7 linked regions of the Callithrix jacchus genome follow. The protein of the gene in region 1 purifies or fractionates together with the protein of each later gene. This does not show direct contact. Links are inferred from orthologs where the notes say so. Each region holds a gene or a part of one and is shown in the gene's direction. Other genes may lie near its edges. The genes, in order: NRP1, UBR2, KDR, FAM241A, BCS1L, CSNK2A2 and PLXNA1.

Region 1 (4,000 bases):
CTCCGAGACCAGGTTGGGCGGGGTCAGGCGGCGGTTGCCCCAGCTTGGAAGGCGCAGCACCTCCCACCCTCCGGTGTTCCAGCTGCCCAAGAGGAGCTGGCCCCAAATCTCAGGAAACAATGAAGCCACCTCTGCGACGCGCAGAGGGCACCCCGGCGCGATCGGCATCCAGCCGCGTGCCCTAATGCGGGCCAGGGGTGCTGCGTGGGCCTTCAGCCCGGCCTCCCCAACCCAGGCTGTCTGACTCGGCTTCACACCGCAGCGACCCTCGCCCGGCCTCGCGGTGTGGCTCTCACTCCAGCCCGGCGTTCGCCTCCTTATCCTCCAGCTCTGGGCGGGGGCATCCAGGGGTGCCCCGCTGCTCCCCTCCACAAGTCTCAGGCTGGCGCGATGGGGAGTGGCAGAGGGTGACCCTGAGATCCTCGCTGCCGCGGGCGCGGGCCCCGGGATTTGAAGTTGCAAGAAGCAGCCGCCACCTCCCGGGCGCTCCGCACTGCGCGGCCGCGGGATCTGCGCCTCCAGGAGCTGCCTAGCTCTCCCTCTGGGGGTGCAGAGCGAGCACGCGAGGTGGGCTGGCCAGACCCCGCGGCTGGCACCGACCTCCGCGCCCCTTCTTCCGGCGCCCGCACCCACGCGCCGGGGGCGCAGACCCCCAGCGCCTTCCTTCCCGCGGAGATCCCTGCAGGGTCTCCGGGAAAGACAGACAGACGGACGGGGAGAGCACTCGGACGGAAAGTTGTTCCTCCCAGTCTCCTGTCAGGCAATTACCCGCGAGCCCGAGCGGGGAGAGGGGCGGGAGGAAGCGAGGGAAGGGCTCCAGAGTGGGGGGAGGCCGCGGGAGGGGAGGCGGGAGTGCAGTTGGTGAAACTCCTCTGTCTCCCGCTCATCTTTTCATTGCTCGCTCCTCTCCTTCCCGCAGACACCCGGACCTCCCCTGGGCGCCAGCTCCACGGCTCCAACGGGTCCAGAAACAAGCCGGATTTTTTTTTTCTTCCTGGAAATTGGCTTTGGTGTGTGTTGCCCTACGTCCCTCCTCCCCCTCCCACCCACACTCCCCCCCCCCCCGCCTTTTTTGAGACATGGCCCGGGCAGTGGCTCCTGGAAGAGGAACAAGTGTGGGAAAAGGGAGAGGAAGCCGGAGCTAAATGACAGGATGCAGGCGACTTGAGACACAAAAAGAGAAGCGTTCCTCTCGGATCCAGGCATTGCCTCGCTGCTTTCCTTTCTCCAAGACGGCCTGAGGATTGTACAGCTCTAGGCGGAGTTGGGGCTCTTCCGATCGCTTAGATTCCCCTCTTTGCTGCATTTCCCCCCTCGTCCTCGTTCTCCCGCGTCTGCCTGCGGACCTGGCGAAGGGAGAATGGAGAGGGGGCTGCCGCTCCTCTGCGCCGCGTTCGCCCTCGCCCTCACCCTCTCCCTCGCCCCGGCCGGCGCTGTTCGCAACGGTAAGTGACAGGCGGAGGCGCGGGTGACAGCGAGCGGCGTCCCGGCTCCCAGCCGCCCGCCCCGGCCCGGGGCTTACGCGGGTTGCCCGGGACCTGCCGGGAACAGCAGACTCTGGGGCAAAGGAAACTTTTATCTGGGAGGAGAGACGAAGAAATGAGATCAGGCGCTTTAGGGCAGGAGGATTTTAGGTCCTTGGGCTCCCTCCTGAAGTTGATCATTGGGCTGTGGGGCTTTTCCTTACCTCTGTTACAAGACAGAGCTGCCTGCCTTCCCAGATCCAATTATCTTAATAATGTTTCCTCCCAAAGCCAATTAGAAGAGACTCCCTTTCAAAAATCTGATGGCTGTTGAAAGTTAATGAACACCTTACAGGAGATCTTACTTCCTGGTTCCTTTGCTGTGCCCCTAAGCCGTTTCTTCTGGTGGGTGATGGCTATAGATATGGATTTGTGGGTTGATAAAACTCCCTCCCCCGCCTTTGATATCTTTCCTAATCTGTCTGGAGTATGACTGAAAGTTACATAGTATCAATACAGGAATCTGATATATACGGTGTAAAGGCACCAGGATATCTGAAAATCCCTATGCTAGCTGCAGCTTCCACTTGGCTTTTAAAACCACTCACTGTTAAGTAAATGAAAAACTATCCTTGGGTATAAACAGTACCATGTAACCTAAATAATGTGTTTTAAAATGGGATCTGGTTGTAGGCATGTTTGACTTCACACTATAAAGTAAGTGCAGGCAAGGGTAAGCAATTATCTTTACAGTAAGTCATCAGCAATTGTTATTAACTAATGATCAAATATTTACTTTTGTCTGGCTTAGATTTCAATCAAAGTAATTAGAAGAAAAGAACATCCACTACTTACTGTGGTATATTGTTTTAATAAGAGACCGCAAGTGGAGGGCCTCATACCAACAGGAATTTAAATCACATCTTTATGATGGAAGTTAATCTCTCTAATATGCTTTTTCAAGGTTTTGTGATTTCAGCAATGAATTTCCCTCAGCAGCTACCAAGCAGTGTTCTAAAGAGATGCTTGAAGCAAAACACATGCAAAAAAAAAAAAAAAATTATGAACATGGAGTTCAACTTATTAATGAACCCAATTTGATGGCATCTTTCTATAATCTGGCAGGAAAGCAAAACACAGGAAATTGTGAATGTAGAGTTCAATTTATTAATGAACCTGAGCTGGTAGCATCTTTCTATATCCTGGCAGGGAATGAAATAGCGTTCTCGTCCAAATGAAAGAGCTCTAATGGCTGGACTAGAAATGATAGTAACCCCCTGTCCTCCACAACTCCTGAGTCTGAATCCATAGTGGGAGTGTTCACAGGAAGGATTTGAGGCTCAGTGCAAAGAGCTTTCAGACTTTAGGTTGTGAGCTACACAAATATATATGCAGCACACACACACACACACACACTTCTTAATTTTCTTAGCAGAAATCTGGGGAATGCTGAAAATCTGGCTTCAGTTGATGAGTTTGACCAGCGAAAGCCATGTTGCTATGCTTGAAGTGACCAGAGCCAGAAAATGCCTCTGTAATTCAGCAGTTCTCTTAAAGCCATGTCCACCTCCTCCCAGTAACCAGTGTCTGCTAAATTAATTCATTAACCTTATTTAGGACTAATGGTCCAGAGTCATTAGAAATTGCTCTTTCTTAATCAACTGCTAGAGAGATTTAACAGAGCCAGGGAGTCTAGCAGTCCACATTATCTTATTACACTGTCACTTTCTCAGAAGTCACAGATTAAAGAGCTCTGGTGTGGTACCAAGTCCACCTAAATGTCTTCTGAAGTGACTCTGTCGAGTGACTAGAACCAGTGCTGTTTTATTTCACTCCTGTAACAGATGCCAGACACTACCATGATGTTTGTCCAGAGCTGGAGGAGACTTAATGAGACGAGGTCACTTTCCAAGTTTTCTGCACATTCAGAATAATGCAAGAGTCTCAGTAGAATCACATAACAGAATCCAACATGACCGTTAGCTGAGATTTTGAACTCCAGTTGCAACATAATTTTTTCCTGGCAAACCTTAGGCTTTTACAAGCCAGTGCAAAGGAAACCAATATAAGACTACCCCTAGTCTAAGGAACAAAGGTCAGAAGCACCTAGCAATTGAGAAAAACAGTATAACCTATATTGTCTTCTTTTTAATTTATGGGAAATGATTTCTGTAATGCCTGTAGCTTTATGCATTTTTGATGTGCACTTCATCTTTCATTTCCATTTGACCTGGTTTTCCTGTAATAAAATTCTGTAGATTTATAAATTCACGCTGAGAGCAAAGAATGCCATTCTCTTTCCACAGGGAATCTATTAGATTCAATGTTAAAATCTTTATATACCATTACTGAAAATTTGTGATTGATAGGCTTATATATTTCACTGCTTTCATACCTGTTTCTCTTAGATAGTTTATGCCCCAAATTGTTATTGCTCAAAATTAAGCATCAATAAATGTGGCAGCATTTCAGGCTGAGGCACTCCAGTATGAAATCCATTATAAAAATGTGACAATGAGAATCTATGCTGAACAATA
Region 2 (3,500 bases), on another chromosome or scaffold:
GTGAGGATAATTCATAGATGTTATTAGAATAAAGTGATATAATGTGCCTAAAGCTACCTGGAACCTGTGCCTGTTATGTACTAAGTAATTCAATAAATACAGACCTATAAGACTTGAATAGAAAATGCATCAGGCCGGGTGTGGTGACTCCCGCCTACAATCCCAGCACTTTGGGAGGCCAAGTCAGGCAGATCACTTGAGGTCAGGAATTCAAGACCAGCCTAGCCAACACAGTGAAACCCTGTCGCTATTAAAAATACAAAAATTATCTGGACGTAGTGGTGCACACTTGTAATCTCAAAGGGTGCACAGTTAATAAGCTGTGGTGCTGATTAGATGTTGTCAAGGAGAGCCAGGTAGAGAAAGGGGTGTGGTGGGGGGGTCAGCAATGCCGACTGGGAGAAAGAGGTGAGAGTTAAACATGCCACGTGGCTCTTAGATTTCTTTCAATGTACAGCAATAAATACCATCACCCTTGCAGTCAAGATGGGGGACAGCTGTCACTTCTCTTGGCCCCACTCCTCTTATTTTCTGGATTGAATGTTTTCCTCTTTCTTAAATACTTGCTCTTTTTGCAGATTCCTAAGAAAAGATACCTGGAAGATATATTTTCATGTTTGAAAATATGTTCATTTTATTCATATGCCCAGTTGATAGTTTGGGTATAGCATTATAGGTTAGAAGTAACTTTTCATCTAGATTTTGAAGCTATTATTTTACTAAATTTTATATCCATTGAGAAATTAATACCATTCTAATTCCTGTTCCTTTGTAACTATTTTTGTTTTTTGTTTGTTTTTTGAGATGGAGTCTTGCTCTGTCACCCAGGCTGGAGTGCAGTGGCAAGATCTTGGCTCACTGCAACCTCTGCCTCCCCGGGTTCAAGCGATTCTCCTGCCTCAGTCTCCTAAGTAGCTGGGACTACATGTGTGGGCCACCATGCGTGGCTAATTTTTTGTATTTTTAATAGAGACAGGGTTTCACTGTGTTAGCCGGGATGGTCTCGATCTCCTAACCTCGTGATCCCTCCACCTCCGCCTCCCAAAGTGCTGGGATTACAGGTGTGAGCAACCTCACCCGACTCTGTTTTTGTTTTTCTGAGACAGGTTCTCACTCTGTCACCCAGGATAGAGTGCAGTGGTGCGATCTCGGTTCACTGCAACCTCTGTGTCCAGGGTTCAAGCAATTCTCCTGTCTCACCCTCCTAAGTAGCTGGGATTATAAGTGTGAGCCACCACACCCAGCCACTTTTTTTAAATTTTTTTAGATATGAGTTCTGTCTACATTGTTCAGGCTGTCCTTGAACTCCTGAGCTCAAGCAATCCTCCTATCTCAGCCTCCTGAGTGGTTGGAATTACAGGCGTGAGCCACCATGCCTGGTTCCTTTGTACCTCTATTACTTCTCTTTTTTTTGAGACAGAATATCGTTCTTGTCACCCAGGATGAAGTGACAAGATCGTGCAGTGGCACAATTTCAGGTCACTGCAACCTCCACCACCCAGTTTCAAGGGATTCTCATACCTCAGCCTCCCAAGTAGATGGGACTACAGGCATGCGCCACCATGCTCCACTAATTTTTTGTATTTTTAGTAGAGACAGGGTTTTACCATGTTTGCCAGGCTATTCTCGAACTCCTGACCTCAAATGATCCACCCACCTTGGCCTCCCAAAGTGCTAGGATTACATGCATGAGCCACTGCACCCGGGCTAATAACTCTGTTACTTCTGAAAACTATTAAAATATTTCTCTTTATCTCTTTAGTGTTCTGACATTTTCTGTGATATTTCTTGCTATATGAATCTTTTTTTATTCATGTTGCTAGGCTTTTAGTAAACCTATTGAATCTGAACATTCATATCCTTCATTTCTTTTTTTCTTTTTGAGATGAAGTTTCACTCTTGTTACCCCGGCTGGAGTGCAATGGCATGATCTCAGCTCACCGCAACCTCCGCCTCCTGGGTTCAAGGCAATTCTCCTGCCTTAGCCTCCCGAGTAGCTGGGATTACAGGCATGCGCCACCATGCCCAGCTAATTTTTTGTATTTTTAGTAGAGACGGGGTTTCACCATGTTGACCAGGATGGTCTCGATCTCTTAACCTCAGGATCCACCCGCCTCGGCCTCCCAAAGTGCTGGGATTACAGGTGTGAGCCACCACGCCCAGCCCCATATCCATTTCTGAGAATTTTTTATGTTGTTTCTTAAATAATGTTCTACTGGATTTTGTTCTTTGAGGTAGTTCTATTAGCTCACTGTTGGACCTATTGAACTGATACCCTAATTTCCTGTAAGTGAAACTTTCTACATTGTCTGTTTTTCCTGAGTTCTGTTTCTCTGCTTCTTTGTTTTGGTTTATCTCTTTGATGCTTTCCTTAAATGCTTATTGGTCCTTGGATAACTTAAGCCAATGAGCATAAGAATACCTGGTGGACAGATTGGAGCTTGCTGACTTGTAAGCCTCACAGTAAAGGTGCTCAGGACACGTCCAGTCTTTTACTTGGTGACCCCCAAATGTCAGTGTGTAAAAACAACTTTCCCCTGAGGATTGTTCACTGGAAAAACTAAACTCTGTGGCAGGGGGTATACACTGCTGATGTTCTCAGGATGGGAAACAGGGTCAAGGATCTCACTGTTTAGCCTGTAGACCTTTGCCCAGCACCCTGCTTTCAGCCTGTGCCTCACCCCTGCTACATCAAAGAGCCTAACTCCTCTTGGGCAGGGGCAGTTTGCATATCTCTAATCACTTTGCATACAGTTACCTCTGGATACATGTTAAGTGGTTCAATTTCAATATAGCAAGAAGCTGTTAAGAAACTGAACCATTTGATTGATATGTGCGCATTGTTCTGAGCTAATTTTACACATGTTTACTTCAGGAACCCTTATTCTGAGAGCATAAAAGAAATGCTAACGACATTTGGAACTGCTACATACAAGGTGGGACTAAAGGTTCATCCCAATGAGGAGGATCCTCGTGTTCCCATAATGTGTTGGGGTAGCTGTGCATACACCATCCAAAGCATAGGTAAGAGATTTACAGCTGTTCCTCTGTAAGTCACAAGCATTTGTTGATATGAATTATGTATAGAATCGTGTTTTTAAATGAAGTGTTTAAAGTGGGCAACAGTATGAAGAAATAATAATAAAAAGACTGAGAAGCAAGAAATGTAGTGTACTGACAAAATACTAGATTGATAGTTCATAAATTAACCACAGCAACAGAGAACTCTTGGTGGTGGTTATAGCTTCTTGTCAGTTGAAGAAATGTACTGTTCATTTTTACTCTGTAACCAAACTTAATTCTTGTGAAATGACTTTGAAGATTCTGAAACCTGACAATATTGTACTGTCTGCAGAATTGGGTTTTTTTAACCTTTTAAAACAATTATATTAAAATGTACATAACGTGAAATTTACCATTTTAACCATCTTTAATTCGTAGAAAGAATTCTGAGTGATGAAGATAAACCATTGTTTGGTCCTTTACCTTGCAGACTGGTA
Region 3 (3,500 bases), on another chromosome or scaffold:
TCCATAGCACTAAACACCATCTTTCATACAATCAGTTTTACTTATTCTTTAATTGCCTGTTTTCTCCAGTTAGACTGAGGTTCCACAAAGACATTGATGTTTGTCTGATTTGTTCACTGCTCTTTCTCCAGTCCTTAACAAGTTTGGCGTGTAGTAGATGGTTAATAAATATTTGTTGAATGAAAGAATGTATTAATTAATAGAAAACTCAGGAATCTCTGTAAGTGACCTCTGAGTTTGTAACTTTCCATCATATGTCGATCCAACTTGTTGTTGGTAGAAGACTTTTTTTTGTTTTTTGAGATGATGTTGCCCTGTTGCCCAGGCTGGAGTGCAGTGGCATGATTTTGGTTCACTGCAATGTTCACCTCCCTGGTTCTAGCAGTTCTCATGCCTCAGCCTCCTGAGTAGCTGGTAATACAGCCATGTGCCACCATGCTCAGCTCATTTTTGTATTTATAGTAGAGATGGGGTTTCACCATGTCAGCCAGGCTGGTCTTGAGCTCTTGGCCTCAGGTGATCCACTTGCCTTGGCCTCCCAAAGTGCTGGGATTACAGGCCTGAGCCACCATGCCTGGCCGGTAGAAGACTTTGACTATGTCTGGTAAGAGTTTACTTAAGTTTGAGAACTAAAGTTTCTCTTTTCTTAGAAATAGCCTCATAGTCAGGCACTTCACTTTAATACCTCCCTGAAATTAATTTTTCAGGGGACAGAGGGACTTGGACTGGCTTTGGCCCAATAATCAGAGCAGCACCGAGGAAAGGGTGGAGGTGACTGAATGCAGTGATGGCCTCTTCTGTAAGATACTCACAATTCCAAAAGTGATCGGAAATGACACTGGAGCCTACAAGTGCTTCTACCGGGAAACTGGCTTGGCCTCGGTCATTTATGTCTATGTTCAAGGTAAGTGGTGAAATAAAATTCATTTCCCACGTCTCTTTACCAGTTATAAAAGACAATAGCCTCAAAGAAGAATTGAGTACAAGAAAGAGCTTGCTCTAAAGGCTGTTTGTCAAGTGGAATACAGAAAATTCTTCTCTCTTGAGGCTTCCTCTGAGAAATAAGACTCATTGATTGATTCTAGAGCTCGGGCTGTGTTACCGCTCTTCTGCCCAATTCGTTTGGGATTGATCTTTGTTTCCAGGGTAAATTCGTGTTCACTATTGGCCACTGAGACTTATAAAAGTCTTCTTATGTTTGAGAAGACAACCTAAAATTCTTGAAATTGAGGAAGATTTGGGGGTGAATTATGAAGAGATTTCTGTGGAGAGACAAGTTATCTATAGCAGAAGAAAAGATTTTCCCAAGAATTCATAGGAAAGCATTTTTGCCAAGAGCTCTGGAGTTTTTTTGCACATAGGAACTTTTTTTTTCTTACTAATACTTCATAAAAAACAATTCCCATACTCATGTGCAAATAAAGACATTGCTTCAAAGAGTCTTTCGAGGACAATGTTTCTTTCCTTTGCTTGTTTAGTCTGAGATCTTGGATGATATACCATATTTTTCTAGGATTTGCAACTTGGGATTGATACCATGGAGGCTGATTTAACAACCATATAGTATAAAATAAATGTCACACATATTCAATATTTATCATGAGCTATGCATTCTTTGTGTTTCAAAAATCTTACACTATCTTATTTTTTTCTGTGAAAACCTGACTTAAATAATGAGATTTCTATGATATAAATTTGAGGAATGTAAGGGTTGCATCATAGTTTGCTTGGATGTACCAAACGTTTTTCTTTTCAGTGAAGATAAACAGACACTTTATGTATTCATGTATATGCCTCTTTACATCCCAGAGTATTTGAGACAGGTGAAGATGACCTAGACCTTTTTCCCAGAAGCAGCTTTTACAGGGCAAGAATTTCATCAGCTTTGGGAAACACACTGGCATATATCTGCTTACATCTCAGTAGTGTCTAATATGGTTAGTGCAATAAAAAAGTGGAGACCACGTCAAAATAACTTATGCCACTAGATTCATGATATTTGAGAATTATTTTTGCCAGAGTAAGCACTGTCCAAGATAGAATGCTGTGCCCTCCTCCTCCCCTCTGCAGGATTTGAAAGAGACAAGGCTCAGATCTTGGAGAATTTCTGACTCCTTTTGATCTGGCAGTCTTGGGAGATGCAGCTCTGTCAGACGAGGGCGAGGATTTCCTGCTTTTAGCCTGTCTGGAAATACTACAAGATGAACCTCCCCCATAATATCTCATTATTTACTTCTCCCTAAGTCAGGAAACTTGGAGACATGTGAAAATTCATTTCATGAATTTCAGTAAATATTTTATTTTGAGAGGATGGGTGGTTGTTTGGGTTTCTTTTGTTTATTTCCTTCTTTTGAGATACTGAAATAGAATTGATTTACTAAACAGGTTTAGTGTTACGTCAAAGGGTTAATTTAATTTCCAAAGGCTTGTTCTGTAAGCAAGTTATGTAACACTTCATAACATCTGGATGAAAGGTAGGCAATACTAAGAAGTAGCAATCCTTAGCACTGTTTACTGGTACGCTGCCTGTCTTTCGGTATACCATTAAATTCTGCTTCCTGTCTAAGCCTAAAGTTCTAGGAGTTGGGCTGTCCAAGATTTTGGCCATGAAGTTAAACAATGGGAAAGGAAACACTAAAGTATTCTCTATGGATAGGTGTTTAATGTCCCCTCCGATCCCCACCTTACTTCCCTAGTCTTCTGACCCCATTCTCTTCAGCAATGGATGGAGCCAGGAAGTCAGCCCTGGCCTTATAAGATAATGGCTATGGCATGTGGTGGGCTAGATTGGCTGCTTTTCTGTGCTATCCAGCTGGGAAGGAAATCAAACTTCTGCTGTTGCAGGGAATTAGCTGCCTTTGTCCCCCCGTGGTTTAATTAACTCTTTCTTCTCTTTGACTCACTGTTATGAAGCACTCTGAAAATGCTTGATCAGATGTGTTGGGCATAGCAATGTGAAATGCTATCTCTCTGAGACTTCAAGCATGACTCCACACCACATCGTCTCTATCTCTGGGAAATGGACAAGTTTTCCAGCAGTGTGTTAACATTGGATGAGTAATGTTTGAATGGCCTCAAAATCTTTTTTTTTTTCGAGATGGAGTTTTGCTCTTGTTGCTCAGGCTGAAGAGCAGTGGCACTATTTCAGCCTACTGCAGCCTTGGCCTCCCAGGTTCAACTGATCTCCTGCCTCTGCCTCCAAAATAGCTGAGATGATAAGCACGTGCCACCATGCCCGGCTAGTTTTTTTTGGTATTTTTAGTAGAGATGGGGTTTTGCCATGTTGACCAGGCTCGTCTCAAACACCTGACCTCAAGTGATCTGCCCCCTTCAGCCTCCCAAAGTGTTGGGATTACAGGTGTGAGCCCCTGCACCTGGCCAGAATCTCTTCAGTTTTCTTCTCAGTCTTTGGAATGGTAGCTTTTCAGATGTTTGTCATTGAAGATATCAATGACTCCTAAATGTTAAACGAAATGCAATCACTATTAAACATGATTTTT
Region 4 (4,024 bases), on another chromosome or scaffold:
TTTCTCAGTGTACAGATAAGGCATACACACAAAAAATGTGATATTTTATTTAAACACCTCTCTATTTTCCTTGAACAAAATGGATGGGGAAGTACAGAAAAAATTATCAATTTGATAGGTTCCCCTTACCACCCACTGAGAAAGACGTATTCTTACCCAGTTATAGAAAGATACACCATTTGACACACCATCAAACCATCCAACCCTCCAACAAACAACACACACTAGGAAGCACTCAACAGAAAGGGACAAAGACACAGACCTTCAGAGAGACACTAGGAAAGGCGGCTAAAGGAACAAGAGGGACAGTGAAATGTGTTTGCCTTGAAAAGGATGGGCAGCTACTCAGGCAAGAATGGGGGACCCTGCTGGAGAGTGTAACTGGGTGTATGTGTGTGTTTCTCTCTCTCACATGCAAACCCACAAACACTGTCATCTCTTACACAAATGCACTCTCTTTTAAATATATCCACTGGCTGTCTCACACAAGTAGTTTCTCCTTCACACTTGGTCTCTCACAGTTTCTGTTGTTCCTTCATACAATCTCTGATTCACAGAGTCTCTAGTATACACATAAAATCTTTCTGTTTTTTTTTAGACAGGGTCTGGCTCTATCGCCCAGGCTGTAGTGCAGTGGTGCACTCTCTGCTCACTGCAGCCTTGGCTTCCCCGACTGAAGCGATCCTCCCACCTCAGCCTCCTGAGTAGCTGGGACCACAGTGCGCCACTACGCCCCTGCTAACTGTATTTTTAGCAGAGATGGGGTTTTCACGATGTTGTCCAGGCTGGTCTCCGAATACTGGGCTCAGGCAATCGGCCTTCCTTGGCCTCCCAAAGTGCATACAATCTCTTATACGCAGTTTCTCTTACATAGAATCTCTCACACACACACACAAATCATGCTCAGTGTCTCTCTCATACTCTCTAATAATCTCTTACACACAATCTCCGTCATACACACAGACTCATTGTATACGAGCTCCCTTATGCAGTCTATATCCAGCCTCTCACACACCCCCTTATTCTCTCAGTCAGACACACACACACACACACACACACACACACACACAGACACACACACACACACACACACACACACACAGTTGGCCCCGCCCCCTGCCTTGGCCCCTCCTCCATATGGCTCCGCCCCGACGGCGGGGGTTGGGCGAGCCAGTGACAGGAGGGGCCGGGCTGGTACTTCAGGCGCCCGGGCCGGCGGGGCGCGCTCCGGAGGCTCCTGTCACCGGCGGGTGCGGCCGATCCCAGAACAGCCCTCGGGCGGCGGCGCTGCCTGGTGCGCCCGGCGTGGTCCTAGGCGGCCGTCCGGGGTGGCAGTAGTTAGCGGCGGGATGTGCTCGGCAGAGGAGCTGCTGCGGGGCGGCGGCGGCGGGGACCGCGACGAAGACGGGGACGCGCTACAGGAGCGGGCGGCGGCAGGGACCGAGCGGGAGCCCGGGGCAAGTCCGCGGCGGCGCAGACAGCAGCTGAAGGAGAGCGAGCAGGTGAGCGCGGGGAGGGGCGGCGGCGGCGGCCGCGCGGTAGGGCTGGGGGCCGCGAGTCCCGCCGGGCGGTGGAGGAAGTGGCCCGGCTTGCGGGCCGCGCTGCGGCTCTGCCCCGCGTGGGGCACTGGCTCCGCGGCGCTCTGGGAAGCCGCCTCCGGGAGCAGTTAGACGGCGCGCCCGGGAGGGGCCGCGGGGTCGCGCGAGTGCGGACGCCGGCGCCGGCTCTGGCCCCGGGGTCGCGTGTCTGTAGGGGTCAGCGTGGCCAGTCCCCTGGCGCCCGGCAGAGGATTCGCAGGCCGGCGCCCAGGGCTCGGGGGAAATGCCTTCCGTAGCTGTGATTGATTTAAAAACCTCACTCGAAAACACTTCTTTTTCAACTTCCAGTCCGTACCCTGCGCCGGGTTTAGGAGACGGCGGCTCCCCTCCCGCCCTCCATCTTGGCCTTTCCGAACCCACACCTAACGTGTCTGGAAGGTGTGGGTGGATTCCGTCCACGGGCCGCGCTGAAAGCATGAGTAGGAAGCGGGTGTTACAATGGATGTCTTGACAGGGACTCTCCCAGAGCAAGTTCTTCACATAAACACAGATGAGATCAAAGCTTCAGTTAAAAAGTGGAGAGGCAAGAATATTGCTTTCGCTTAGTATTATACTGAAGAGAAAGAAGTTTAAGAGGCCAGCGCCATAATAAGGGAAAAGAAGTTGGGTAATTTTTTAAACTCCCTGAGTTTGATCTCATTTAAATAAAGTGTGATAATGAGCATTATAACATCAAATATCATCAAGATTAGGCAAGAGGTTTAAGTTTAAAAACTGAATTGTATGTTGAATTTTCTACAGCAAATACAGTATTTAGACTTTCACAAATACCGAGATAAGCCGATCTTAGAATCACATTAAGGAGCAGGAATTCAAATGATTATTGGCCTTTATTACAGCCTGTACTGTTAGGACAGCTAATACCTGTCTCTCCTCATCTTTCTCCATCTGCCTTTCTGTCACATTTCACAAATTCCAATATCATCACTAAATATATTATAGATGTATAACTTCTATTGTTTCAATATATTACTTAGGAAACAGAATAACATTGTGTGGCACACAATATATGCCTTAGCGTTAGGATTGATCACCACGTGTAGTGTGATTTTTCATCTGTGACAATATAAGAGAAAGTAACTCAAGCAAATAATTTGATAGCTGGTTCTTCTGATACCCTTCCTAGTGGTTTTTCCCATTAACTGTTACTCAGTTGCTCAAGGGCTTGGTTTCCTCTAACTTAAATTGCTCAACTAGAAAAGTGAAGAAAACAGCAAGAATTCCTTTGGGGAATGGGGGAGGGGTGTGCATTTGAGCAGAGGTTTCCAAAGTAAATTTTCAAATAGTCAAGAGATCATGTAAAAGACTTCATTTACCTTCTGTGTACTTCATTAGTATGATTATGTAGACATCACCAATAGCTGTGGTCTTTACAAAATTGCTTATGGTACAAAGTAAAAGAATAAAACAAAAAATGAAATAGTATCTTAGAAAACAGATATCACTTTGCATACCTGCTGCCTTCGTTGACTGTCATGAAAGTTCATTTTCCTGTATTCCTTTGAAGTGTTATTTTTATCATTCTCTTTTTATCTCAAGATTTGTGAATGTATTCTAAGCCCCCATACACAGTAATTGAAAATCACAACTCAGATATGCATTTCCTTCTACATCAGCACCAAAGAAGAACTTATCAAGAAGACAAACATAAGCAAAAAATTGGTGCAATCAAACCCACTTTGTAAAAAGCAAGCTTTTCTGATAAATTGTTTCTTGATAATATTATCACAAAGCCTTGTTTTCTAGTTTTTTTCAAGTCCTGTAAATGAAATTTAAAACTGTTACACATTGCCATGTGATGATAGTAGAAACAGTATTACATGGCAAAGACATTTGAGGGAGAAATGAAATTAACAACTGTGGAGCATATCCCAGGGACTCATTTTATTCAGTTTTTATTTAGGGAGATGATTTTTGTTTGTCTTATTGGTTGTTTTGAGGATACAAGGACTCCAGATTACAAATGGAATATTTTTGAAAGATTGGTTTTTCTAAGTTAATGACTTAGAACTTAAGGTGAACTTTTCCATGAAAACAATGATATAAACAGAAACAGAACCAAAACTAAGTAGCTGGAAATGAGACAGAGGCCATCTTCCTGCCATGTTTTCTACTTGGCAGGCTCACTTGGTATTCCACTGATAGCTTCATGGATATTGAGAGGAAATTAGAGGCAGGAGCTAGCAGAGGCTCCTTCTAACCCAGAAAAGAGCTATGGTTGTGTGTTCTTGAACTCGATAGCTCCAGAGGTATCTGACGTGCTCCTCTAGCTCTTTCAGTTGATTTTGGCCAACACCTAATTTTCTATTTCTATTCCCTTCTCAGAGTTTGCCCTTTCCTGATTATTTGATGGAGATTTCTTTCTTGGGTTATTTCTCAAGCTAAAGCCTCTTTCACATACATCCCTTCCTTTACTGATTTTTCTT
Region 5 (4,088 bases), on another chromosome or scaffold:
TGCATACTGTTATACACGGCTATAATGAATTTAAGCTGAATAATTAGTAATTAATAAGAATGATAGTAATCATTTTATGAAATTGAGTCATAGAGAAGTTGCAAAAAGAAAAAAAAAAAAAAAAAAGAAAGCAAGATCCTGCAATCTGACTGTCCCTACTTCCAGAATCCCACGGACTCAAAACAGCGGCTCACAGGGATTCACAAGGTGGCTGGGAAGGGCACTCTCGCGGTCAGAGGGATTCTCTGTAAACCGCAGCCTCCACTTACTGAATTTTATCGCTGCTCTGGGGAATCTTCCGGCTCGGCCATTCATAGCCTCCGGGGGGAGCCAAGGAGGACGCAGAGCCGTCAAGATTAAGAACCTTCTTCACCCGCGGGAGGGGAGGGTGAGATAGGAGACCGATAGTCACGAGAGAAGAAACACGCGTTATCTTCCGGGCAGGAGCACTGAGGAAAAGAAAGGACAGACTAAGGCAGAGAGAAGGCCAGGAGAAACAACGGGCCCCGGCCTAGGGACCCGGGTTCCCACCTGCCGCTGGGTTCTGACTCTCCGCGTGGCCTTGGACAGAGTCGCCTAGCTTCTCTGGGCCTCAGCTTTCCTGTCTGTAAAATGGAGGTGATGACAGTGTCCACATCTTCGGGCGGGAGCTGGATCACAAGAGCCAGCGAACTGGAAAGGCGGTTTGTAACCTGGAAGGCTTGGGATGGAGCATCTTCATGATTTTGTTCCAGAGAGCAGCGGGTACCCGGGCGGGGTCCAGAGCAATGACGCGACTGCGGCGCCGGGGCCCAGCTCTTCTGCGTGCTCCCTTCAGTACCTCCTCCCGAGAGTTCCCAGGGTCCAGGCCCACCCTGATGCCTTGACTGGAAAAACTTTGCCTCCGGCTCGCTCCACCCCCGATTCCCTTCCCAGTTCCCGCCCCGCAGCCGCTCACTCACCTCCGGACCCAGAGCCGGCTGGAGCCGCATCTCTATGGTCGGCAGTGGCTGGAGCGGCCGCCCGGGCCCACTTTGTGCGACCGCCTCCGGCCCAGCAGCCTCTAGTATATCGGGGATATGGAAGCCACTCTCTCTTCCGCTTGCCGGCTGCCGTGGTGCTCTATGTTTTCTCTCTGTGGTTTTTCCCCGCCCTCCACCCCTACTCCAGCCCTGAAGTCGGAGGAAGCACCATCGAGAGCTCTGGGGTAGAGTGGCGTGGGCTTCTCGGTAGGTGTGGCGGGAAGTAGATGAAAGGACTCGGGGCGGGGCCGAGCGCTGCTTCCCCCAAGTGCGGGTGCGGTGAAACCAACGAGACGGAGGGCCAGAGAGTCATGGCGGTGAGTGGGCGGAGTGACTGGTTGCCCTAAACCATGTGGCTGGAGGCACGAACTGGGGTGTGGGCGAGGTTCAGGAGGGGGTTTCTGGGTGTCGCGGAGGGGGAGGGGACGGGAGAGCTTTGTCTGTGGCCTTCCATGCATAGGTGTTTTGGAATTTTGGATCCCAGTTCTGAGGCTCAGCCGAGGTCACTGCTGTCAGCTCATCTCCCTGCATGCCAGGTGCAAGGCAAAGTGGCCGGGGTTCGGGGTTGGAGGACAGGTGTACTAGAGACAACTTTGCGCTTATCCCTCAGGATCTTATTTGTCTACAGTGTAACGATCCGTGGAGAAAGTAGCAGATGGGTAGGTTTCAGTTGGGGAGGATAAGGGAGAAAAGAACCGGCATTCCGAACCAAGAGAACTGCATGAGCAAGGAGGTGGGAGGTTGCTTATCTGTTGAACATATTTGTTGCATATTTGCTGAACAGGTAGTGTTAGGAACTAATCTATGAAAGGTAGGTGTGCGCCGTATTGCGGAGGGCCTTGAGTACCAGGCTCAATTTGTACCCCCAGCCATTGAAGGCACTGGAGCAGAAAGAGAGATGGAATTGGAGCTGATCCCTATGATGAAAGATCCGGACCCTTGTGTAGCTGTTGAGTGAAGCAGGAGGTGAAGAAAAAAGTGCCATTTCAAGAACTATAATTTTAAATATAGTTTAGGTGGGAAGTAATAAAGGTCTAAACAGGACATTAGATATTGGGAACGTAAGGGAGAGGATATTTGAAGGACGTTACTCATGGTAACAAGGCATAGAGTTATTGACAAATCAATGGATGCTTCCCCCTTGCTGACTCCAGCTAGTGGGCCCCTTTCTATAAAAGCTGGTACCATGGACCACAAAAATCCTGTCCATTCATTATCCTGATGTGAAGCCAGTTTATATTGCTCTTTTTGGTTTAAGGCATCTCCAGACATGGTCCTCTGGTAAGAAACAGGTATGAGTAGAGTAATGAAGGGCAAAATGGGATGAGGGGCATTGCATGGAATGCAAGTCTTCACCCTTGCATTCCAATACTACCCTTACCCCACAAAAGGAGGATATTGACCAACAGAGTAGTGCTAACCTGTGCGCAGGGCTGGAGAGGTCCAATTTTTAAAGTAATCTTTTGCTTTGTCCCATCTCCACTGTTCCCCACTCGTAGGTTTTTGCAACACCCCAGGGCTGGTAAGGTTTGGTGTTTCCCTTTCAAGATGCCACTTTCAGACTTTATTCTGGCCCTGAAGGACAATCCCTACTTTGGGGCTGGATTTGGGCTGGTGGGTGTGGGCACAGTCCTGGCCCTGGCCCGGAAGGGTGCCCAGCTGGGCCTGGTGGCATTCCGGCGCCATTACATGATCACACTGGAAGTCCCTGCTCGAGACAGGAGCTATGCTTGGTTGCTTAGCTGGCTCACCCGCCACAGTACCCGTACTCAGCACCTCAGTGTGGAGACTTCGTACCTTCAGCATGAGAGTGGCCGCATTTCCACTAAGTTTGAATTTGTCCCCAGCCCTGGAAACCACTTTATCTGGTAAGGTTGGGAGCCAGGGAGGGCTGTGAGAGTAGAAAAAAATGATGGGAGCTGGGTTTGAACCATTCACTCACTCTGTTTTGATTGTTCTTATTCAGGTATCAGGGGAAATGGATCCGAGTAGAACGAAGTCGAGAGATGCAGATGATAGACTTGCAGACGGGGACTCCTTGGGAATCTGTCACCTTCACGGCCCTGGGCACTGACCGAAAGGTTTTCTTCAACATCCTGGAGGAAGGTGTGGGATGGCACAGGCAGGCTTTCTAGGGACATTGCAGGGATGGGGACATTTGACATCAGAGGATAAGCAGTTTGGAGAGGTGGAATAAGCAGACCAGGGTGAGCCCAGGGGAGCACGGGGCCAGAAGGAAGCTGTTGGGCATAGCTCCACCTAATCGAAGAATCAGCCATGGTGAAGAGAATTATTGGCTTTATCTCATCTTTTCCTTTTCAGCTCGAGAGCTAGCCTTGCAGCAGGAGGAAGGGAAGACCGTGATGTACACAGCTGTAGGCTCTGAATGGCGTCCCTTTGGCTATCCACGCCGCCGGCGGCCACTGAGTTCTGTGGTTCTACAACAGGGTCTGGCTGACCGAATTGTCAGAGACATCCGGGAATTCATTGATAACCCCAAGTGGTACACCGACAGAGGTAAGAAGCAGCTAAGATCTTGGCTGTGCTATTTTTGACATTTTAGAGGGGACAGGTTGGTCTCTGGCCAGATGGGGTGATAGAAAGTTCTAGTCCAATTCCCAGAGATTAAGAGGAATGAAAAGTTGTGTATGAGGATGATTTATTTCCCTACCAGTTATCAGGCTTCCAGCGGGCAGGGCTGGGAATGAACGTGGATATCGGGCAAAATCCATATCAACCTGGCTCTCCCTAGGCATTCCCTACAGACGTGGCTACCTGCTTTATGGGCCCCCTGGTTGTGGAAAGAGCAGTTTTATGTGAGTAGTCAAAATTTCTCTTGGTGAAACTAAGCCTTTGTGAAAACACTGGGCTGATGGGGTTGGAAAGGGAAGTGAATCTGGGGACCAGGGGCCGGGATAAACATGAAATGTGTGGAACATTAGGGTGTGAGCTAGAAGTTAAGCCTCTGAGACACATATCCCCAGACTGAGAGGAGAGTAGCTGGGCCTGAGGAAGCATTTCCAGGTTGCCTGCTACCTCCTGCCATCCCATCCTCCATAGCACAGCCCTGGCTGGGGAACTGGAGCA
Region 6 (4,043 bases), on another chromosome or scaffold:
ATTGAACATCATCCTAAGTGTTTCACATGGTTTATTTTGTTTAGTTCTCCTTGCAGCCCTGTGAAGTGGGTGCTATTACTGATTTTATGCTGTAGAATCTGTGAAACAGAGAGGTTGAATAATTGGCCCAAGGTCACACAGCTTGTAAGCAGCAGTACTGGATAGATCTGACTCCACAGTCTGTGCTCTTAGCTTTGTCAAGGAGGAAGGCCCAGAGTTTCATCCAGAAAACAGAATGTGAAAAGGGATTGGAATCAGAGCAACCTGGACTGGGTGAAGAGGTTGTGTCGCGAAAGGATGCTGGATGAGAAAGAAAGTCAGAAGAAGGGCCTAGAATGTCAAAAGAGAGGAGTGTCCAGGGCCGCAGGCAACACTGGAAGCCAGGCCAGCTCAGCTGGCCACCCATCCCGGTGCATACCCAATCTCAGTCTGTCCCTTCAGGTCAAATTTACATTCTCCTGCTCTCCCTCCTCCTCAACAAAAACAGGAGATTTACAGACTCTCAACGTCTCTCCCCACAAGCGACTTACTAATCACAAAGGGAAAAATTGTAACTTTGCGGTGGCACAACCTGGCCGACTCCAGCTTAACCAAGTGACCAAAGTGGGTATTCAGAGGGTTCTCAGGGAAGGCTCTGGAGGGGCTTTTGGGGGAAATGTATAAGGGTTTTGTGAGGAGGACTCTGAATGAAGAGGGTGGGAAGTCTTGGGGACTGAGGAGTCTGCGGGAACAGGGAAGGGTCCAGAGGGGGAAGGAGGGGTACGTCTCGGGGGAAGGGAGAAGTATTGAGGTGGGAGAGGTTCTGAGGTTTGAGCGAGGCCCTGGAGAGAGACTTGACAGTTTGGGCGAGAAGAGGGTATGGGAGGTGTGTGGGGGTAAAAGCTGGGCAACTGCAGAGCTGGGGGCAGGGTCTCCACCGACAATCTTGAAAGGGTCGGGACTCGAAGGGGAGGGTTCTAAGGCAACGGCCAGTGGAAGTGGGGGCTCCTGTGGCGTGAGGTAAGGCCAGCCGGAGGGTGAGGCGATTTGGACAGCCCGGCCTGGGGCAGCGGGAGGGCCAAGGTGGGGGAGGGCGCGGGGGAGGGGGCGGGGCGTGCTGGGGTGGGGCCGGGGCGGGGTCGGCACCGCCCGGCGGGTCCCCCCGCGCTGCAGGGGGCGCTGTGAGCCTGGGCGGCCCCAGGCCGGGCGGCGGCCGCTCCCCGTGAGCGCGGCCCCTTTTCCGGGTTTCCTCCGCCTCCTCCTCCTCTCCTCCTTCTTCTCCGCTGCTGCCGCCGCTGCCCCTTTCCCGGCCGGTGGCTGCCGCTGCCGGTGCCGCCGCCGCCGCCTCCTGGGGGCCGCGAGCCGAGCGGAGACCGCCGCGGAGCGCGAGCGCCGCCCGCCCCGCCGCTCCGCCGGCCGCTCCAGGGCCGGGCCGGCTCGGCCGGCGCCCCCCGCGCCCCCAGCCCGCCCGCCCCCGCGGGCCCGGCCTGGCGCGGCCGCCCGCTACCGCGCTCCTCCTCCTCCTTCTCCAGAGCCCGGCGGCCAGCCGCCTCCTCCGCCCGCCGCCCCGCGCCCTCCGCCGCGCCGCCGCCGCCACCCTCTGCGCCCCGCGCCGCCCCCCGGTCCCGCCCGCCATGCCCGGCCCGGCCGCGGGCAGCAGGGCCCGGGTCTACGCCGAGGTGAACAGCCTGAGGAGCCGCGAGTACTGGGACTACGAGTCTCACGTCCCGAGCTGGGGGTAAAGCCGCCGCCGTCCCCCGCCGGGCCCGCTGACCCCTGTCTCCGCCCGGCCGCCCCCCGCGACCCGCACTCGGCCGGGGTGGTGTCTCCCGCCGATCCCTCCGCGGCCCCGCTGGAGACAGAGGTCCCGCTCTCGCACATGTCCTCGTCTTCCTCTTCCCTCCCCTTTACCCCGGTTTCGTCCCTTTCTCCCCGCTTTGCGCACCCCTTTCCCCCAAGGAATGATTTTTTTACTCGGAGAGAAGTGTGGGGTGCACGGATCGGCGCTGGGTGGAAGTGAGGGAGCAGCCCTTCTCACACTTTTGGGTTTCCACTAGGGTGGGAAGTCAACAGCTGTCCTCTGGAGCTATTAAAATTCTCTGCCTTTTCGGTTTTCTGAGATGAGGTAGTGGGAGGAAATTTCTTAAAGACGTCCACATTTTTAAAACAGGGATTGTCTACCTTCAGGGTGTGAAACGGGAAGCAGGTGCTGTGAAGCCGCGGGGCAGAGGGGGCACCCTCTAGGCCTTCAGGACGGGTGCTTTGTTCGCCCCTCTGGATTGGCTCAGAGCGTTGCCTTTCTACCCCATCTTCCCAAGTTAGGAGAGACCAGTTAGGTTAGGAGCTCTGCAGAGTGAAGGGAGCCAAGATTACGTCGTGGCTTTCATTTAGGGAATGAGTTGTGACGTGATGTGTAGACACTTCCAAGTGTTTGCCTGGCGGAAGCGGCTGGATGACGTGTATAGTGGGCATAGGCTTGGCTAACCCCCAGTCCTGGCATTTATGTGTGTCTGTCTCTTACCTTTTACAGTAATCAAGATGATTACCAACTGGTTCGAAAACTTGGTCGGGGAAAATATAGTGAAGTATTTGAGGCCATTAACATCACCAACAATGAGAGAGTGGTTGTAAAAATCCTCAAGGTGAGTGTCCTATGAGTGATAAATAACATTTGTTCCCCCACAGGGCAAAAGGATGTAAGCTACCCCAGTCACATTCTAGAATGGGCAGTGCAAGCTTGAATTTAATTACTTATTTAGAGTCAGAGTCTCACTCTGTAACCCAGGCTGGAGTGCAGATTATGGTTCACTGCAGCCTTCAACTCCTGGGCTCAAGTGATCCTCCCTTCTCAGCCTCCCAAGTAGCTGGGACTACAGGTGCATGCCATCATGCCCAGCTATTTAAAAAAATTTTTTTGTACAGACAGGGTCTGGTCATGTTGCCCAGGCTGGTCTTAAACTCCTGAGCTCAAGCAGTCCTCCAGAACGACTCCTTGCAGGCTTCCCAAAGTTGCTGGGGTTACAAGCATGAGCCACTGTGCCCAGCCCACACTCAAATTTTACTTCTCTGATGACCCTTCATTACTTCTTTTTCCACCCCATTTTCCTGTGAACTTTCAAGGAAATGTGCAGACTGGTCACAAATCTAAGCCCAACTCTTAAGTTCAGGAAGGTGTTCTAAAATGTAAATTATAGGTGCCTAAAGCAGAAATTCCAAAAGGGCTCCATTTGTTAGAAAATAAATAGGTATTCAAAAGACCAAAAAGCCATTCTCAATTTCAGGTCTCCTTGAGCACTGTTTGTTACTCTTGGTGCGTGATCTACCTTATTCCATAAAGAAAGCTGGACAAAACTGGAGTGACTTCAGAGATGTATTGCGAGCCCAAGTTGAAGGAAATTCCTTAGTGGATAATCACTTGTTTTTTCTTCTTTGGCAGTAAAGTTTCAGGTGGCGTGGATATAGTGCACTAGTAGGGCTGAGAAGCCTTGTTAGAAAGCCAGAGAGCCTTTGTTGCTTATCAGCTAGTAAAAATATAGAATTCACTTATGATTTCTAAAGTAATCACTGGAACAAAACTCTTAACATATGGTTTAGCGATCTCAGTTTGATAATGCTGTGCTTTTGTTATCTCTTTGATGAAGATGATTTTAATGAGCATGAAGGGTCGGCTAAATTTTCCTTCAGGTAAAAGATTAATTGTGTAGCTTTAATAATGTTTTATAGGGTGTGGTAAAAAGTAATTGGTAGAATCTTTGATGGGTCCTCATTATTGCCAGATTATTTCATGTGGGCACGTGTCATTCAGTGAGAGATTGAGAAGATGGAAGAGTAATGTAAGCACTTTTGTATACATGTGATTTCCAGTGTGGCCCTTTTGCAGAGGTTCTGTGGACTAAGAATGTGGTATTGAAAAGCTGTTTCTGTGTGTTAGGGCAGCTGTATAGGTAATCCCTGTTTAATGTGAGGGGTCAATGTTAGCTTTCTGGTAATCACCTTTCAGAAAAATGATCAACTCCATCACTCAATACATCCTAGCCTAGTGATGAAGGAGCAGAATTGCAAGA
Region 7 (3,500 bases), on another chromosome or scaffold:
GAATAGCATCACGGATGCCTGCTTGTCGGTGGTGGCCCAGACCTTCATGGACTCCTGCTCTACTTCTGAGCACAAGCTGGGCAAGGACTCGCCCTCTAACAAGCTGCTCTATGCCAAGGACATCCCCAACTACAAGAGCTGGGTGGAGAGGTGGGTGGAGGTTGCAGGGGTCGGGGCAGGGACCTGGGGGGCAGTGCGGACCCTGCTCATATGCCCACCTGGCCACTCACCCACAGGTACTATGCAGACATCGCCAAGATGCCGGCCATCAGCGACCAGGACATGAGCGCATACCTGGCAGAGCAGTCCCGCCTGCACCTGAGCCAGTTCAACAGCATGAGCGCCTTGCATGAGATCTACTCCTATATCACCAAGTACAAGGATGAGGTGAGCACTGTGGGAGCCCGAAAGCTGGGCTGGGAGGACCCTACCAGAGCCACTGGCTCTGCCCCGCCCTGCCAGCTCCTCCCTGAATCTCTGGGCTGCCATGGGACACCTTCGCTCCTCTGTACCTGCTGGCTACCTAGTTCCTCGGGGCCAAGAGGAAGCCTGCCAGGCTGAGAAGAGAGGGCTATAGTGGAGTCACTGTATGCAGCCATGTGGGGTCAGGGATAAGGAAGATGGGATGGCAGCTTCTTCCTGAGGTGGAGGGTGGGGGTGGTAAGCAACTTCCCTGAGGGGCTCATTTCGGGGCTCTCCAGGCTGAGCCGGCGTCTCCAGGGCTGGGCATAGGCTCTTGGCAGAGCTTCCCTTTCAGTGTCTTTTCTGCTAACTTGGAGTGAGCCCTTGTCATCCACGAACGTGGAACTGGGGACAGGCTCCAGGAGGCATCCAGGAAGAAGGACTGGCTCCTGGGCTGCATGGGACAGGAGCAGGGGCCAGAAGGCAGGACAGGCTTGGCCTGTGCCAAGGCCTGAGAGCCGAGGAGGCTATGGGACTGAACCAGAGCCACCCTGGGGAAGCTGGGGCAGGTGCAGCAGAGGCAAGGAGCCTTTCCCAGGGTGCCGCAGGCAACAGAGAGGAGGCAGAGGGCCGTCCTCAGTCAGGCACCCCAGAGGAACAGAGGAGCAGCCAGAGACTGCGTGTATTGGGGTGGGGGGTGGGAACAAAAGCCTGGGGTCCTGGGGCTCACCAGGGCAAGGGGAACTGAGGCTCTCTGGGGAGGCTCCAGGTTTTCCTTGTTGGGAGGCAGGGGCAGCCACAGGAGCCCAGGCACATCTCAAATGCAGAACCACATCTCCCTGGGGAGACTCATCTGCACCCACGACAGATGGCCATGTATTAAAGGGGTGTCAGGACTGAGTGGCGACATGTCAGCAGTGTGGCCAGACAGCCAAGGGATCAGAGCCTGCTGTTTTAGGGGGCGAGGGTAGGAATGATGACGGGGTAGGGCTCATCCTCCATGATGGGGTTCTTGGGGGTCCAGGCTCACAACCAAGGTCCCTTGGCCAGGAATAGATGGGATTGAACCTCCAGCACCTGCTCCATAGGCATCCACCCTGGGCCTGCTGAGCGTATGGAGGCCGGTGGCCCAGTATGCTGACAGCTCTCCTGGCCCTGCAGATCTTGGCGGCCTTGGAGAAGGATGAGCAGGCACGGCGGCAGCGGCTGCGGAGCAAGCTGGAGCAGGTGGTAGACACGATGGCCCTGAGCAGCTGAGCCCTGGCTGTGACCGTCCAGCAGGACGCAGCACGAGGGTGGCCGAGCAGGGACCAGGGCATCCCTCGCTGCATGCGTGTGCAGTGTCTGGTGGCGCTCAAGCCGCCGCAGTGCAGCGACTGCCCAGCCCTCCCTCCCCCGTCTCGCCCGGCCGGGTCCCGGCTCTTCCTATGTGGAGGTGAAGGTACCTACCACGCCACAGCTGTGCACACAGCTGCTTGCTCAGGGGCCGGGGCAGCACTGGGTGCCCAGGCCGGCCAAGGACCTTCATTGCCTGGCAAGAGTTGCCTGGTGGCCTTCATGAGAGAAGGGCTGACCTCTAAGGGGCTGAGGGGTGAGGCCAGGACCCTCCAAGGGGGAGGGGTAGCCAGCTTGGGCTGTCCCCTTGAGACCGGGACAAGAGGCTAGGGGTGTCAGCATTCCTAGCTTCCCAAGCTGCCCCCAGCTGGCAGAGTCTGAGGGTCCAGGGGCCCAGTTGGCAGCTGGAGAAAGAAGCAAAAGCCCATGGCTGGGCAAGAGGAGCCCACGTTGGTCTGGGCCTGTTGGCACTCGCCTCCCCCATCCAGCACCCACGCCCGCTGTACCGCTGCCATCCTCAGATTCACCGCGTGCTCTGCGCGGCAGAGGCTGGAATGCCACATCCACCTCGCCCCAGAGAGGCCATGCTCCCTCCTATGGAGGGGCTGCGGGTCGGGCTGCTCAGACTCCTGGGTGGCTTCCAGATGGACCAGGTGGCCCCTCTCTGTCCTCAGGGCTGTGCCTCTGGGAGCCATTGGGCCAGGGGCCCCGGGTCACAGAGAGCACGTTCCCGTTATTTATTCCCCTTCGAGTCCTACACGGGCTGCCCTGGAAGCTGCCTTCAAGGGTAAGGCTGAGCTCCCCACTGTGGAGCCCCTGAGGGCAGCCCCTGAGCACTCCTCTCCCTCCACTCCCTGCCCCAGCGGCTTCCAGTGTGGCATCTCAGCAGTGTCCTGGCCCTTCCAGTGCAGTGGGACATCTGGGGACTGTTTTGTTTTTAGGGGAAAAAAATTCTGCTGCACTCTGCTTGGGTCTTGAGTTCTGTGGCACAGCCCCTCCAGCCCACAGTGGCCTGGATCTATCTGGGCCATGAATGACGGGCAGTGACCAGAAGGATTGGAGGCCAGTGGTGTCCACCCTTGCCCTCAGCAAGAGAGAATGCATTCTTAAAAGAAAGCTGTACATGTATATATATGCACATATATATATGTGGCTCTAGCCTCAGGCTCCAGCCCCAGTGGGGTACTGTACAGTTAACTGAAGAGGAATTTTAAAGACAATTTAGAATAAGAAAATGAAGGCAGTGGGAAAACAATGCCAAATGGTTGTGGAGAAAGTGGCCGGAGCCTCCCTGGAGCGGAGCAGCCCTGAAGCCTGTGCCCTCAACCTGCGAGCCGCTGTTTTGGTTTGATGTGACAAGGAAAGGACTTCCTGCTGACCCTGAGAGCCTCCGGGTGCCGCGGCCCCGCGGGGCATGCATGATTGTGCTAGCGTTTAGTCTGAGTTGATCTTTTTAAAACTGCAAGTGTTGAATACTAGAGGTTGTTAGACCCTTTTTTATGTTTTTTAATTAATCAGTCACTTGTAAAAGCAAACAAGCGGTCCATCCCCTTTTCAAGGTCACTTTTTTGATGGTACTGAAGATCCCACAGACTTTAAGGGACAGCTAACTGTGGCCAGACCCAGCCCCGTGTCCTTGGCCAGGCCCGAGGAGAGCACTTGGCCCCAGGGGGTGCCAGTCTTGCAGTCCACCCGTCCTGAGCAGCTTGAGCCAGATACCACCACAGAGACCTGCCCCTCTCCTGAACACGGGTCAGTGTGTA

The links.
Region 2: the proteins of NRP1 (region 1) and UBR2 purify together in Homo sapiens (affinity purification with mass spectrometry; 3 studies listed by BioGRID and IntAct, counting the BioPlex papers as one, with this or other methods). This does not show direct contact. The link is inferred for Callithrix jacchus from reciprocal best matches to the Homo sapiens genes NRP1 and UBR2.
Region 3: the proteins of NRP1 (region 1) and KDR purify together in Homo sapiens (affinity purification with western blotting; 7 studies listed by BioGRID and IntAct, with this or other methods). This does not show direct contact. The link is inferred for Callithrix jacchus from reciprocal best matches to the Homo sapiens genes NRP1 and KDR.
Region 4: the proteins of NRP1 (region 1) and FAM241A purify together in Homo sapiens (affinity purification with mass spectrometry; 3 studies listed by BioGRID and IntAct, with this or other methods). This does not show direct contact. The link is inferred for Callithrix jacchus from reciprocal best matches to the Homo sapiens genes NRP1 and FAM241A.
Region 5: the proteins of NRP1 (region 1) and BCS1L purify together in Homo sapiens (affinity purification with mass spectrometry; 3 studies listed by BioGRID and IntAct, counting the BioPlex papers as one, with this or other methods). This does not show direct contact. The link is inferred for Callithrix jacchus from reciprocal best matches to the Homo sapiens genes NRP1 and BCS1L.
Region 6: the proteins of NRP1 (region 1) and CSNK2A2 purify together in Homo sapiens (affinity purification with mass spectrometry; 5 studies listed by BioGRID and IntAct, counting the BioPlex papers as one, with this or other methods). This does not show direct contact. The link is inferred for Callithrix jacchus from reciprocal best matches to the Homo sapiens genes NRP1 and CSNK2A2.
Region 7: the proteins of NRP1 (region 1) and PLXNA1 purify together in Homo sapiens (affinity purification with western blotting; 4 studies listed by BioGRID). This does not show direct contact. The link is inferred for Callithrix jacchus from reciprocal best matches to the Homo sapiens genes NRP1 and PLXNA1.

What each region holds. Positions count from the first base shown.
Region 1 is NC_133508.1:32,987,594-32,991,593, reverse strand, and holds the start of NRP1 (neuropilin-1), read left to right. Parts: upstream 1-1,200; 5' UTR 1,201-1,360; coding exon 1,361-1,445; intron 1,446-4,000. UniProt on the Homo sapiens protein: Cell-surface receptor involved in the development of the cardiovascular system, in angiogenesis, in the formation of certain neuronal circuits and in organogenesis outside the nervous system. Mediates the chemorepulsant activity of semaphorins.
Region 2 is NC_133505.1:51,175,970-51,179,469, forward strand, and holds part of UBR2 (E3 ubiquitin-protein ligase UBR2), read left to right. Parts: intron 1-2,875; coding exon 2,876-3,024; intron 3,025-3,441; coding exon 3,442-3,497; intron 3,498-3,500. UniProt on the Homo sapiens protein: E3 ubiquitin-protein ligase which is a component of the N-end rule pathway.
Region 3 is NC_133504.1:141,635,202-141,638,701, forward strand, and holds part of KDR (vascular endothelial growth factor receptor 2), read left to right. Parts: intron 1-707; coding exon 708-904; intron 905-3,500. UniProt on the Homo sapiens protein: Tyrosine-protein kinase that acts as a cell-surface receptor for VEGFA, VEGFC and VEGFD. Plays an essential role in the regulation of angiogenesis, vascular development, vascular permeability, and embryonic hematopoiesis.
Region 4 is NC_133504.1:85,062,829-85,066,852, reverse strand, and holds the start of FAM241A (uncharacterized protein FAM241A), read left to right. Parts: upstream 1-1,224; 5' UTR 1,225-1,349; coding exon 1,350-1,502; intron 1,503-4,024.
Region 5 is NC_133507.1:140,397,758-140,401,845, forward strand, and holds the start of BCS1L (mitochondrial chaperone BCS1), read left to right. Parts: upstream 1-1,288; 5' UTR 1,289-1,318; exon of another isoform or gene 1,319-1,870; 5' UTR 1,871-2,324; coding exon 2,325-2,869; intron 2,870-2,967; coding exon 2,968-3,107; intron 3,108-3,323; coding exon 3,324-3,518; intron 3,519-3,753; coding exon 3,754-3,817; intron 3,818-4,061; coding exon 4,062-4,088. UniProt on the Homo sapiens protein: Chaperone necessary for the incorporation of Rieske iron-sulfur protein UQCRFS1 into the mitochondrial respiratory chain complex III.
Region 6 is NC_133521.1:16,079,386-16,083,428, reverse strand, and holds the start of CSNK2A2 (casein kinase II subunit alpha'), read left to right. Parts: upstream 1-1,243; 5' UTR 1,244-1,613; coding exon 1,614-1,717; intron 1,718-2,160; exon of another isoform or gene 2,161-2,334; intron 2,335-2,509; coding exon 2,510-2,621; intron 2,622-4,043.
Region 7 is NC_133516.1:76,332,938-76,336,437, reverse strand, and holds part of PLXNA1 (plexin-A1), read left to right. Parts: coding exon 1-150; intron 151-236; coding exon 237-387; intron 388-1,563; coding exon 1,564-1,659; 3' UTR 1,660-3,500. UniProt on the Homo sapiens protein: Coreceptor for SEMA3A, SEMA3C, SEMA3F and SEMA6D. Necessary for signaling by class 3 semaphorins and subsequent remodeling of the cytoskeleton. Plays a role in axon guidance, invasive growth and cell migration.